2 linked regions of the Drosophila melanogaster genome follow. The protein of the gene in region 2 interacts with the protein of the main gene of each other region in a pairwise test. Each region holds a gene or a part of one and is shown on either strand. Other genes may lie near its edges.

Region 1 (7,768 bases), on a different chromosome or scaffold from region 2:
GAGCACGAGAGTGAATCTTGTCGTCCACCATGTGCTTAAGACGCTGATAGTAGGTGGGCCCCAGGAAGACCTGTAGTTAAGGGACTGATTAGTTTAAGATTATTGCAAGTTGAAAGTTAAGCAATTTACCTGAGCATTAATCTTTCGTCCAGTGTGGCCATTGTACATGACCTCATTGCCTCGAAGATGATAGCCGTACTCCTGAAGGAAGGTGGAGATCTTTTGCACGTTGACGGCATCGTTGAAGGGTGTAGCATCACCGATCTCTCCCTTGTTGGATCCCAGTTTTCCCTGCAGACACTCGATCAAGTGACCAATTGTCATACGAGATGGGATAGCGTGGGGGTTAATAATGATATCGGGTGCCAATCCCTCGCATGTGAAGGCCATGTCCTCCTGACGGTACTGGATGCCGCACGTTCCCTTTTGTCCGTGACGAGAAGCGAACTTATCGCCGATCTGCGGAATACGCACCGAGCGCACTCGAATCTTGCAGAACTTGTAGCCCTCGCTGTTGAGCGTAAGCATCACCTGGTCCACAATACCCGTCTCAGAGTTTCGCAGGAAAGTGGAGGCATCTCGTTTGGAGAAACGCTTCGTGTTGCTGTCCAGTTCGTCGTCGTTTTCAGGAAGGGTAATGGTCTTGCCAATAACCACATCGTCGCCAGATACACGAATTCCTGGGGCAATAATTCCATCATCGTCTAACTTGTCGTAGTGAGCATTTCTCATTCCTTGGCAGGTGCCGCGATGAGGCTTCTCGAAGTTCTCTTCCTGATCACCGACACGTTTGTTCTCCGAATCCTTGTATGATCGGTAGAACACAGAGCGGAAGAATCCACGCTCCACAGCGGATGCATTCAGAATGACAGAATCCTCCTGGTTGTAGCCAGTGTAGCAGAGAATAGCCACGATTGAATTGATGCCAGCTGGTAGTTCTCGGAAACGCAGGTACTCCATGGAACGTGTGGTCACAAGTGGCTTCATCGGATAGTAAAGTACGTGGGCTAGTGTGTCCATACGCACGTGGAAGTTGGTAATATAAACGCCCATAGCTTGCTTACCTATAAAAGATGAAAAAAACGTTATAAATGGATTAGTATTTCAAGTAGAACAGTAATGAATACTCATAAACTTACCCATAGCGCTTTGATAGGTGTTACGCGGACTCTGATTGTGATCGGGGAAGGGAATAATGGACGCGCACACGCCCAGGATCATGGCTGGATGGATCTCACAATGTGTGTATGTGGTACAATAAGCATAATCCTTGTCCTGCTTCAGATCGTAGGGAGACATAGCGATCATGACCGTTTCCTCCTCAAGGGTATCAATGTACTCCACCACTCCAGAGGCTACAAGGACCTGCCAACTGTAGTTGTTGTAGTCTCGCTCCTTTAACATCTCCACGTGAGTCTTTTTAAGCAGCAGCGATCCGTTTTCCACGATGAGAAGTGGCCGACAAATGCGACCAGCATCTGTATAGATTCGGATCTCACGATCTCGAATGTCTCGAATCATAGACACCTCTGACACGATGATATCCATCTGGCGACGCAACTTACGAAGCGTTGCCATGAGCTGCTCAGGATCACGATGTATGCCCACCCAGCAGCCGTTCACAAAGATCTTTGTAGCATCAGCGATGGCAGAAGGAGCAATTTCCTCCAGGTTTTCCATAGACCACTCCTCCAAGAACTCCAGAATGGGAGAAGGTTGTGATCCCACAGAAATGTAAGCCATGAGCGCCAGGTTCTTCACCAGACCAACAGCTGCTCCCTCAGGAGTTTCAGCGGGACACAACATACCCCAAAGAGTATTGTGCAACTGACGAGGTTTGGCCAGTTTACCGTCTCTGCCAATTGGCGAATTCACACGCCGCAAATGGGAAAGAGTAGAGGCGAAGGTCAAGCGATTCAACACCTGGGAGACACCGGCTCTCGCCTGATGCGCCTTCTTCTGGTCGCCCCAATTGCCAGTGGCCAAGGAATACCTTAAACCATCAGTAATAATATTAGTCTTGATGGCCAGTTCAAGGTTGAAGTCCTTTCCGCGATCGATGAACTTCTGTGTGTACATGCGCACCTCTTTCATCAGGTTTTTGAACAGACCACGGAAGAGGAAGGCCAGGAGGGGTCCAGCGAGATCAAGTCGCTTGTTTCCATAGTGATCTCGATCATCGAGTTCTCTCCTGCCCAAAGAGGCTAAGAGCAGCCGGTGAACCATGTAGCCCAAAAAGTATGCCTTCTTGGTCTCGCAGAAATCGGATACTCCAACGTGGGGCAGCATTTCCTTTTGCAAAATTTCCTTAGCGTACTTTATACGCTTGTCTTTTGTGACTCCGGGACGTGCTCCTCTAGCTCCAATGAAATTCAAGGCAACATTCTGCTCTTGGACTACAAAAGCCTCGTCCAGAGAAGGTTTCACCATTTCCATCATCTCGGGATCGTCGAAGTCATAGATGATATGCTCCAGAATATCGCGATCGGCCACGAAGCCCAATGCTCGAAACACAATCATAATGGGTATCTCCTGTTTGATGTACGGTAAGATGGCAATAATCCTCTGACCAATGGCTGACTTTTTTATGTTTTGCGATCCTCTTGCCATCATGTTTACCCACAGTGTAGACGTGGGTCTGGAACTGTGCTCCAAACACGACCGAATCTCAGTCTTAAAGGCATACTTGCCATCTTTCATGCTGAACACGTACACTGTGTTGGTGGCCATTTTCTCTTGGGCAATTAGCACCTTCTCGGAGCCGTTGATGATGAAGTAGCCACCGGGATCCAACGGGCACTCGTTCAGCTCCGTAAGATCACGATCAGTAAGCTGTGATAGCAAACAGTACGTTGATCTCAACATGATGGGAATCTTGCCTATGAAAGTCTTTTGATGCTGCGTTTCCACGGGATCCAGGCCCTCGACATTCTTGGTTTTCGTAATGTCCACGTAGAGAGGAGCGGAGTAAGTTAGATTTCGCAGGCGGGCCTCGTTCGGCATCATAGGACTGGGCGAACCATCCTTTTCCCAATGTGTTGGCTTGGAAAGATAGATTTGCTCGAATTTCAGCGAGAATCTGGGCGGGGTTTCCACCTCTCCGGATGTGTGCTGCGCTTCCGCCTGCAACTCAATGGCGGGGGAATCCTCCACAATGCGCTGCACCGACATCTGAATGAACTCATCGAAACTGTCCAGCTGCTGCCGCACCAAGCCCTTCTCGTCGAAGTACGCGTTAATCACGATCCAGCAGGCTTCCTGCCACAGCTCGTGAGAGATCTCCTCGGCATTCTCCTCCTCGTACAGTTCTGCAAGATGTTATTTGACCATTGAAATTCATTGCTAACAATGCGGAGCCCTAGCGCTCCAGCCGCCATATTAATTTTGGTACACGCCAACGTGCATGCACAAATTTTCGCAATTCATTTTACTCACCTTCCTCGTTGTCGTACATCATGATTTCAGTTTTCTAAAGTGCAGAAGCACTTTATGCGTTCAAGTAAATAACAATAAATTGGATTTGCAATGAATTAAATTGTAAAAACGTAGAAAATTTCACAACAAATGTTTGCCGACAACGCGATTAGCGGCGTTGTGCTGTGTTGGTAAACGGCAAAAGCAAAGCACAAGGTGCAGTTCATAAAGTTATAGCAAATACTTGTAAACACAATAAAATTGTTTTTGGCAACAAAATAAATTTAAAAGTGTGAATGATATAAGAAAAAAATATATGAACAACTAAATGAGTATGTAACTTAAATTATTATAATAATATAATTTTATTAATAACAAACGCATTTAAATTAAAAACAATTAAACCGAGAGTTTGCCAACACCAATGACACGCACACTTTCCAACACTAACAGACCGGCAAACAGCTGAGATTGTTGTACTCGTTTTACTTGGTTATTTAACACGCTTAAAAAATGAATTTTCTGTGGAAAGGACGCCGGTTTCTGATCGCAGGCATCCTGCCAACATTCGAAGGCGCCGCAGATGAAATAGTCGATAAGGAAAACAAAACATACAAGGCCTTTCTGGCCAGTAAACCACCAGAGGAAACAGGACTGGAGCGCCTCAAGCAAATGTTTACAATCGAGTAGGAAAACTAAGAATTCCATTTATACTAAAATCTACTGACCGTACATAAACATTTAAATAGCGAGTTTGGCAGCATATCCTCCGAGCTTAACTCGGTTTACCAGGCCGGCTTCCTAGGATTCCTTATTGGAGCTATTTACGGCGGAGTTACACAATCGCGCGTGGCCTACATGAATTTCATGGAGAACAACCAGGCCACAGCATTTAAATCGCACTTTGATGCCAAGGTAGGTATCTACGTATTATCATTTAAATATGTTATAATCAAGTTTTTAATCATAATTACAGAAAAAGCTGCAAGATCAATTCACAGTCAACTTTGCCAAAGGCGGCTTCAAATGGGGCTGGCGAGTGGGACTTTTTACCACATCCTACTTGTAAGTTCAGCAACACGAATTCAAATCTGTATCTGTGTGATACAAAAATGTGTTCCTTACAGCGGCATCATCACTTGTATGTCGGTGTACCGTGGAAAATCCTCAATCTACGAATACTTGGCCGCTGGTTCCATCACCGGCTCGCTTTACAAAGTGAGTCTTGGTCTGCGGGGCATGGCGGCAGGTGGAATCATTGGAGGTTTCTTGGGCGGCGTGGCTGGTGTGACGTCGCTGCTGCTGATGAAAGCATCAGGGACCTCGATGGAAGAGGTTCGCTACTGGCAGTACAAATGGCGACTCGATCGCGACGAAAACATTCAACAGGCGTTCAAAAAACTGACAGAGGACGAAAACCCAGAGCTTTTCAAGGCCCACGACGAGAAAACATCCGAACATGTATCGCTGGACACGATCAAGTGAGTCCTGAGGACTTAAAGAAGACGCCAGTGTGAACTTAGTTACTTTTTTTAATTTAAATAAATTGCATATATGTCCATCTAAAGTTACATAGACAAGAATACATTTAAGGAAGCCCACTTTGGCGGCTGCTATGCGATGTTTCAGTTGATGCCTAGTGCCTCTAAAGATATCGACTGACGTACGGACACATATAGACACGGGATAGACACAACACAAAAGAAATAAACGATTGGATACAATAAATTAAATGCTCTGCTAGGAAACAGTACGTAGAAGGGCGATAAACAGAATTGACTCGGTGGGATCGGGATTCAGACTTAGTCCTCTGCGGTGGGACGCGTGAGGCGCTTGGCGCCTCGGTTTGGTGGCCCCTTGGGCTTGGCAAAAGCCGGTCGGTGTAGAATCTTCTTTGGGTGCAGCTCGTCCTGCAAGAAGGCTTCGGTCAGCTCGCTGCCGCTGTCGATTTCAAGCTGAAATGTAAAACGTTGTTAGAAACATGAATCAGATTTAGTATGATTTAAAATTACTCATTATTTATGATTTACAGATTTCTATTTCAAGTGAAAAGTGAGACATTCGCCCTAATTATGATTCAAAATATTTCTAGAGATCGTGAATCAAAAGTATAGTGAATGTGGCGATTTGAAAGCAATAAATAAATCACAAACAATATATACCCTGCTTTTGCTTTTTATAGCCCTAATCTTTAGTGCTATTAGCGCAGCCACACCCACTCGCATTCATATCAACTCACCTTCTTAACAACCTCCACGCCAAGGGCCGCGAGCTCGTCGAGAAAAGGAGCCTTACAGCTTGAGTACATCATGCGCTCGCGCACGGAGCAGGAATATCCAGGCATGGAGTAGACGAACACGTACGACTCAAAGTAGTCGCCCTCGTGCGTGTGCCGAAACAGGAAGAGGTGGTATCGTGCATGATCCTCGGGCACTTGCTTCGGCAGATCGGCGAGCTCCACTTTGGCCGCACGCGAAACATGGATCTGTTCCTCCTCCAGATCGATGCGGAACTGAAGGTAGTCGTGCTTGCCGCGCACCAAATCCTGAACGGCAGCCACGGTTGCCTCGCTCAGCGGGCAATTGATCCCACCCAGAGTTTGGTGCCGCGTATTCGTATTGATCTCAGTGTGAACCTCTGTCTTTCGCAGCTCTTTCAGCTCCTCCTCCCTGCTGGTCAATGGAGCTGGGGCTGCGAAATCCTGCTTGTGCCGGCGATAGCCCTCCAGCGTGCACTCATCCAGAGTGGTGGCATGCAGCTCCTCTGTGATGTATGCTGATCCGAACTCCGTTTTCAACGTGGCCTTCGTGGAAGCGTATACCATCTTCTGTCGGATGCTGGCCGTGTCCGGCGTCCAGCTGATAAGTAGCCAACTGTAGCCCAGCGGGATCTTGGCGTCCAGGCGATAGAGAATATAGCAGGGCACATCCTTTTCCAGTAGGGGACCTATAAGCTTGTCGTAGTCGCGCTCCCAATCCTTTTTCGTCTCCGCCGTGGCGCCGCAACTAAGCTGCTCTGTAATTTGGGGCGGGGTGAAAACGGATGCGGGTTCGTTATCAAATCGTATGCCTAGTATATATCTTGTGTATATACGTTTCTGGATTAAATCCACTCACCATTCTCGATCGAAACTTTTATCACGCGAAATTTACCATTCTTCGCTTTGCCGAACACCTTGGCCAGCTGCTCGTTGGCTGAAAATACAAAGGGTGTTCTAAGGATGCGGATTAGGTGGTTCCCAAAGATAACAAACCTCGGATACCCGTTTGGTGAGACATTTGGACAACAGCTAAAATTAATATTGCCGAAAAAATATATTACTCACAACCAGTGTGACCGCAAAGCGCGAGTAGGGAAATACTAAACCGGGAAATATGTACCGATTCTGATTGGCAATCACTTCAAAGCGGCTTTAAATGTGTAAAAAAAAAAGAATTATTAATTAAAAAGATACTGTAATGCTATTTTTATAACTAAATTTTGGGAAAATTTTTAACACTCTGTTTTATAGAACATACATTTCAAAAATAATACCAAATGTGTCTGCACTGATACAGTGTTGAAAAATTCTTCAAGCTCCAGTACTTTGCAGCACAGGCCAGCGTTCTTTCTTTTTTCACGGAAAATGTAATGAAAAACTGCATTTAACTGCATTTAAAACGTAGCAACTAGCCCGGAAAAGCATCTGTTGTGCAATCGCATAGTCAATAAAGTGAGTGCACGCGAGATTCGTCCGATTAAACCGCTCCAGCGATCAACTGGAGCAGCTGGGCGTCGACGTCGGCAGAGGCCAGCCCACGCCCCAAATGTTTACGGGCGTGAAAAGTGCGGAAAAGCGAGGAATTTAATTGGGTTTTCGTTTCCCGTTTGCCCGCAGCATCCACACCCATGTTGACCGAAACCCCCATGGCCAGCGAGAACATCATGGACGAACTAGCCTCTCTGATACGCACCGAGATCCCCGATGGCCGCCAGAGTCTGCGGGACAGCTACACGAACCTGGAGCGGGTGGCCGACTACTGCGAGGACACCTACTACCGCGCGGACAACAAGAAGGCGGCCCTGGAGGCCACCAAGAACTACACCACCCAGTCGCTGGCCAGCGTGGCCTACCAGATTAACACGCTCGCCTATAGCTACATGCAGCTCCTCGAGCTTCAGGCCCAGCAGCTCGGCGAGATGGAGTCCCAGATGAACCACATCGCCCAGACGGTGCATATCCACAAGGAGAAGGTGGCCAGGAGGTAAGAACAACAAATTGCTTAAACTAGAATAGGAAAAGGGGATATGCATATTTTAAAACGACAAAGAATACGGAATGAACATTTTTGTCTGTAAGTACGACTCATCGGTG
Region 2 (6,835 bases):
GAGGTGTAAGCACTCATGTTCCCTGTCGCCTGAAACGACAGGATGTCTTTGTTTTCCGCAAAACTTGGGCCTCCGAAAATGGTCAAGACAAGCAGCAGGCAGCATGATAAAGCGGGGGGAATGAGTTTGTTTTCCCTGGTTGCCGTGGCTTCCCTGGAAAAGCCGCAGGAAAAGTGAAGGTGGTGCAATTTGGAGTCTGGCCGCGCGATTAGCTAAGCGCTGCGACCATATAATCGCATTGACAATTCCGATTTGTGTGCGGGAGTCGAGGAAGTGCTCCACTTTATGGCAGTCATAATTTCATGTTTGAATGTTTCGCCTCGATAGGATTCGGAATGGGGATTTTCGAATTGCGATTTGGTCCGCTGGCCTGGCCTGGACTGGCTGGCCGCTTGTCCGATTCTATCGAATGGGTGTCCATTGTGTTCGCGGCAATCTCCCTCCGCCAGATTTGCATAACAATTGCTGACTGTAACCTTTCGCCCAATAAGTTAGCTGCAGCTCCAGCTCCAGCTTCAGTCTGGACTCCAATTTCGACTCGGATGCGGCCCAAGTGGCCAGCTGCAGTTGCTGGGCGGCAATAAAACATTTACCACCGAATTAGCCCAGTCGGAGAGTAGTTCAAGTAGTTTAAGTGCAAGACCACTTAAAATTCAGTTACGACTGCTGCCCAGTTCGGTTCGGTTATAGTTCAACTTTCGCGTTAAATGAACCTTTAAATAAACTTTCCATTTTATTTGGCGTAGTTCAGTTGAACTTGAGCCTAACTGAATTGTAATGTGCAGTCACGTGCAGTCATTTAGCAGTTGAGGTGTTGATTAAAGGTCGCGAGGTACTAAAAGCAGCTACGAGTGTTTGAAATTGCACTAAAAAGAGCTACGCTATTTGTAACTTGATTACACTATTATCGAAACATTGAAACAAACAATTTGTTAATACGGCTAAAACGGCTGACTGGGGCGAATCTAACTCCAAATCCAATACGATCGAAAAACATTTCTCTGCTTCATCGATCGGAAACACGCCCAAATCCACAAGAGAATAACACACGAGATAGAGATGGACTGAAGGGGGGGGGGGGGGGGTCTCTCAAGTTCAATTGAGTTTCACTTTCCTTCATAATTTAAATTAACAATTATAGCGGATAATTAACAAAATGAAAACAAAAGCATCGAAGGCAACTCCCCCTGAGCGGCTACGAAAAATATTATTACAAACTGTTGGATAATTTATCAAATGAGCTGCGGATAGGATAGGATTGGGTAGCTGGGCGACGATGAAGTCATTACCACAGACAAAAAAGAAACCACACAAAAGGAGAGACAGGCCCAACAAAAAGACGACGTCACATGTGAAGCGGATCAAATGATTTCGTCATAATCGAGCAGCAAATTACTATTTTTTCCCCCTAATAGAGTAATAAAATTGCCCAACTCTGGCCGAGAAATTTACTTTAAACTGAAAAGGAAGTGGAACCTGAATGGTAGCAGCAGGCTGAAAAACAAAGCTGAAACTGAAAATCGAAACCGAAATGAAATGTGGGGAAAATTAAGAAGAAAACGCTAACAATAAATCTTTTGGCAATAGAAAAAACAAAACCTGCCACAAAAAAGGCCCAAAAAGCCTGTTCACAAAATTGACTTTCGAACACAATTTATTTTTATATTTTTGTCTGCTTATTTCGATGTTATTTTTTTTTTTTGTTTTACCAAATCGCTTGAGAGTTTTTCTAGCCAGCGATTTAATAACCCGAATAAAGCCCCAAATAAAAAACAATGAAAAATTAATGTACGATCCATTCAGGTTCATCATCGACACGAGATCGAACCGCAACCGGGGAAAAAGCCAAAGGGAAAGGCGGCTGGCTCAGAGTGTTTGAAGCGGGCTGTAAGGCTTTGCTTTGTCGCCACTTTAATTGGCTCAAATTAAAGACGAGCTGGGATTGGGTTTTAATGGCAACGTCTGTCGGGTAAGGGGTGGTGGGAGGGGGGGAGGTGGAGAAGATGCAGCTGCAGTTTAGAGGCGTCACTTTATTCCGCTGATTAATGAAGAAATTTCCCCTGGAAGCTTGCCGCCTTGTTAACGACTTTATGTGTGACTATTCGCAAATAACAAAATGAGCGAGGTGAAATTAAATTTTACAAAATGTCCCATAAAATAATCAGTCAGCCATGGAAACCACTGGGGTCTGCGGACAACTTTAGTTGCTATAAAATGTGTAAAATGGAAAGTGCTGACCACGAAAGGGTGTTGGGTACGTAATTTTTACGAGAATTATTTCCTTGATGTAGGAAAAAACATGCATCATTTAATTGTAAGTATAAAAATTAAGCCAGTCCCGATGGCATGACCCAAAAGTTTATCCTCGCTCTATACCAGAAAATAAAGATAAGTTCGATTTGGTTGGCAATTTATTTATGTCGGGTCAATTTCTAATGGGGTTGTGCTACAATAATTTAACCATGGTAGATGTGGTGTCCATAGGTGGGAACAGCGTAGGACTTCAGCACAGGGACATGCTGAACCACTGGGACATTTTTCACCACCGGAACATGCTGCACCACTGGAACATGCTTCACCACCGGAACAGATTTCACCACGGGCACCACCTGGGCCACAGGAACCACTCCGTAGGAGGGCTCAATGTAACCAGGAGCAGCAAAAGCCATTGCTACCAGGGCGAAGATTACAGCGATCTAAGGAGATATTTTGTAATATGAAAAATCCTAAGGATTTACTTTATAATTTCGTGAACTTACAATGCGGAACATTTTGGTATTTTGTTGTGAGTTAAAAACTTTAACTTGTGGTTATCGAACGTTTGTGTTAGCCGGACGACTGTTGTTGATTGACCATCCGTGGAATCATTATATATAGTAGTTAGCACCTCAGCCGAAAATAGCCCACAAATGACTTCTGTTCGAACGCCACGCGCCAAACCAGTTTAATTATCTTAAATTTGGTATCTTCGAATAATGCGCATTCTATTTGGTATGAAACCATCTCCAGCGGCGAACTTCCCGTTATCGGTCGTTATTGCTTAACCTTTGGACATAATCCCCATTCAATGACTTCTCAATTGTTTGCTGTTTTTAGATCCGTGTGCTTATTATTGTTTACTTCCAAGACCATTGTCATTATATCGATCGTCTTCACGCGTTTGTGATGATCACCAAGAACCAAGGTCATGTCCACAAAAAAAGACCTATATGAGGCACCTTTGGGTCAACTGATAAATCCATTCTCTCAATTAAACAGAAGAATTATGGCCAAACACGTTTGCCCATTTAGAAGTTGTTATTGAAGTGATTTTTGGCTATATAAAGTAACTGATCCATTGGTCAGCATCACCAGTCGTCCTACAAGCATCCAAGTGACAATATCTCCAAGTCAAGTTTGTAAATTACTAAGAAAATACCAAAATGTTCCGCATTGTAAGTTCACGAAATTATAAAGTAAATCCTTGTGATTTTTCATATTACAAAATATCTCCTTAGATCGCTGTGATCTTCGCCCTGGTAGCAATGGCTTTTGCTGCTCCTGGTTACATTGAGCCCTCCTACGGTGTGGTTCCTGTAGCCCAAGTGGTGCCCGTGGTGAAATCTGTTCCAGTGGTGCAGCACGTTCCGGTGGTGAAGAATGTCCCAGTGGTTCAGCATGTCCCTGTGCTGAAGTCCTACGCTGTTCCCACCTATGGACACCACATCTACCACGGTTAAATTTTGGAAAGAGCTCAATCGATATCGCACGGGAATAAATAAAATGTTTATGCTTGTAAAAGGAATCATATTTGACTTACTTGTCTCAAATCAAATGCACTTCAAATGAGTTTACAACTTCTGTGATTTATTCGCAGTATTTGCAGTGTGTGCGGATTATTTTCTCATGTCCCGCCGAGTTTTTGTATCCAACAACCCATTAAGAGCTGCAACAGAATTTTCTTCGGTCTGGTCCGATCGGAAATTTTTACGCAAGCCGTAAATGCGCCAAAATCTGGAACACAAATACGTTTTTCTCTGTTTTCGCGTTAGGGGCTTTGTAGTTTATTTGGTGCGGATCGAGTGATAAAAGCCAAATGTGCGCCTCGTTCCAGGCACCCAAAAGATACGGAGATTGAGCAGTTGCGTGGAACACATTTGGCAGGCTGTTCGCTGGTGAATTGACTCTTTGCACCGACTGAAGGTGATTAATGGACGCCAAGAGGAGCGGAGCGGAGTGGAGTTCAGTTGCGAAGAGTTGAGAGTAGCCGTACGATACTTCTTAAACGGTAGTTAAAATCTAACTAACACGCGAGAGAAAGAGTTTGCGTTTGCAGAGTTGGCTGATGAAAACGCTTGCGGCTGGCATTGAAGACTTCTATAAAATGGAAAGGGGGAGGCTTTTCTTGCTGACCCACTTTTGGCAGACAGAAAAATGTATTTGCCTTTGCTGACTGGCTTGGCTGGGCACTCCAAGAATTGTTAACAGCAATTTAGTGGTTATTCGCTTCTTCTTCGGCTGCTAAGTGTATTTTATTGTTCGCCAATTGCTGTTGTTGTCTTGTTAACGCTTTTTATAGCCGCCTTTTGCTTTTCGGCCAACTCTATTTGTCGAGTCTTTCTCTCCATGCAGATGTATCCCACAGATACATTCATTAACTTGTTTGCAGTTACAGTTTCCCTGTTTCCCCTCGCCGGTGATTTATGCTATCGCCAGCGTTTGTTCGTATATTTAGACATTTCCTATGTGTTGTCACCTCAATTTTTTCCTGCACTTGCTCAACTTTTTTATTTTAATTTTATTTTTAGGCTAATTAAAATAATCAGGTAATTGTGCAGTTATGAGTTATGTCTCAAGTCGGCGGAGAAGAGGAAGATTGTGTGAACATGGCAGACCTCAAATCTCGTTATGACTATGAATATGCATTGGCGCTTGATGAGATCCCCTTCCCCATTTTGTGAAGAAGTTAAAGGCGTGCCCAGGCAATTAGTTTGGAGTTGGGCCCTTCCATAGAAACCTTCAGGGCTATTTTGGCACGTTGTCAGGAGGTGGAATGCTGGAATCAGGCGTTGACTTCGGGCGAAACTTGTTCTCCACACCCAGTAACCATTGAATATAACAGGGCTCTCTAGTTAAGATGGGCTCATAAATAGAATAAGTTACAGGCAGCTTTTGACTTTAATAGTTCGCACTTTAATGGATGTTGAAGGACTATGAACGAGTTCGATGAGATCATGATCCTGTTTTAACTATTAAAGTTTTTGAAAAGTTCAATAGCATTCATCACTTATTTTACTTCCATTGAGTAAAACTTAAAGCCAAAACCTGAGCGAATTTTCCTCCCCATCTCTCAGTCAGATATGTGATTGATTTTCCAATCTTTCTCCACAAAGTCTTTAAGAGCACTCCGGCCTGGCAAACTGGACTTAACGTCGATGTCATCCATATGCTTGTGGCGCGGCCGACAAATAGCAAATAAGGGAAAAACTTGTCAGCCTCGCACACGTTTCCTTCTTCTGGCTTTGGATGGCTTCTTGGAAAAGCGGGGCCAGCACAAGAATCTCTTCTATTTCCTTGGGAAATATCTCTGGCATTCGTGTTGTGCGTTGTCTTTGATTCTTATATATCGAGCTGGGATTCTGGTCGCTCTCGTTTCGAAGAGATGAGATCTTTTAAAAGGCAGTCGTTGCTCTATGATCTACTTTATGCATTAGTTTTCAGTTCGAGGCGCGTGCGAAGACCACAAATCGATGCAGGAAATCCGATTTGTGGTAAAAGTTTTCCTTTTTTCTGCTCCCCCAGTTTTCCTCATCTGAGTTTTGCTTTACTTTGGTAAGTTGCCGTTTAAAGTTGTTGCACTAAGTAGAAATATGTGCAAAACGGTGGTTGTGGGGCTTCTGAGAAATCAAAGCCGGTGGTCTCGAAAGGCGGAAGAGTGAGGATTTTGGTGGGCGATAGGTGCCAAGTGTTAAGGGTTGTCGTGGGTTAATAGTCGTTAAACGTCAGCGAGGGTCAGTGGCTTACCAGGGTCTAAGGATATTTGAGATGTGCACTTTTGCTTAGATGAGAAAATGCAAGTGAAAGAGTCAAGCTATAATTGTAAATAGTGAACTACAATAAGCCAATTTTAAATTACACTATAATAACTGTGTGTATGTATTTTGTCAATTTAAAACAAGACAGTTAAAATTCTGATCATCTAAAAGTCAATGAATTTATTTCTTTTATCGGCAGTATAGATAAATACAAACTTATCACAGGTAAACGAATATCTTTAATTACGCTCTATAATCAAATATAGAGAAAGTCTTAAATATTCCCAGAAGAGGCCATTTCAAGTCACTAGCAATTTGACTTTGCCTTTTTCTTTTATTCTCTGCCTTCCATCTTCACTATGACTATCTCATCATTAAGGCAAATCCGAAGAGGCTCTAAGACAATCGGATCGATTTATGCAAATGATACTCTAATCTTCGAGCGTTTCTTCCTGTGCCTCTCCGCCACCACGAAGAATAGCAATTCGTCATTATGGCAAACAAAGATCGAAGACCAGTTTTCACCTCAATCTAATGATGTTTACCTCATTTATCCTGATCCGCTGTGATCCGCTTGTAATCAATCCCCATCCATCCTCAGCCAGGGGCAAGTTCAAGTTGCCAGCTCTCCGCAACGATCTCCTCCACGGTTCCTTTATGATCTGGAGTTTCATCCTTTCCACTCCACCTGGCTTGAGTGGGTGGCTCAACATAATGGGGGGATCTGCCGTTATTCGGCTGTATCCCGATCGCAGCCGCAGCTGCAAATAAAATAAGAGTCGACTTCAACACTCGACTTGGCTTAATGCAAAGTGCCGCTG

Evidence for each region.
Region 1: the proteins of CG34267 (region 2) and 140up interact in a two-hybrid assay, tested with the Drosophila melanogaster proteins (one large-scale study listed by BioGRID).

What each region holds. Positions count from the first base shown.
Region 1 is NT_033777.3:14,121,636-14,129,403, reverse strand, and holds 140up (upstream of RpII140), read left to right. Parts: upstream 1-3,855; 5' UTR 3,856-3,927; coding exon 3,928-4,100; intron 4,101-4,163; coding exon 4,164-4,329; intron 4,330-4,390; coding exon 4,391-4,479; intron 4,480-4,541; coding exon 4,542-4,899; 3' UTR 4,900-5,216; downstream 5,217-7,768. Other genes in the region: Polr2B (RNA polymerase II subunit B), read right to left, coding at 1-70, 130-1,064, 1,140-3,308, 3,436-3,457; twf (twinfilin), read right to left, coding at 5,217-5,369, 5,654-6,429, 6,531-6,608, 6,668-6,692; Abi (abelson interacting protein), read left to right, coding at 7,303-7,658. UniProt on the Drosophila melanogaster protein: Chaperone protein involved in the assembly of the mitochondrial NADH:ubiquinone oxidoreductase complex (complex I). Essential for viability.
Region 2 is NT_037436.4:496,961-503,795, reverse strand, and holds CG34267 (uncharacterized protein), read left to right. Parts: upstream 1-3,344; 5' UTR 3,345-3,422; coding exon 3,423-3,434; intron 3,435-3,497; coding exon 3,498-3,719; 3' UTR 3,720-3,782; downstream 3,783-6,835. Other genes in the region: CG34268 (uncharacterized protein), read right to left, coding at 2,457-2,696, 2,760-2,771.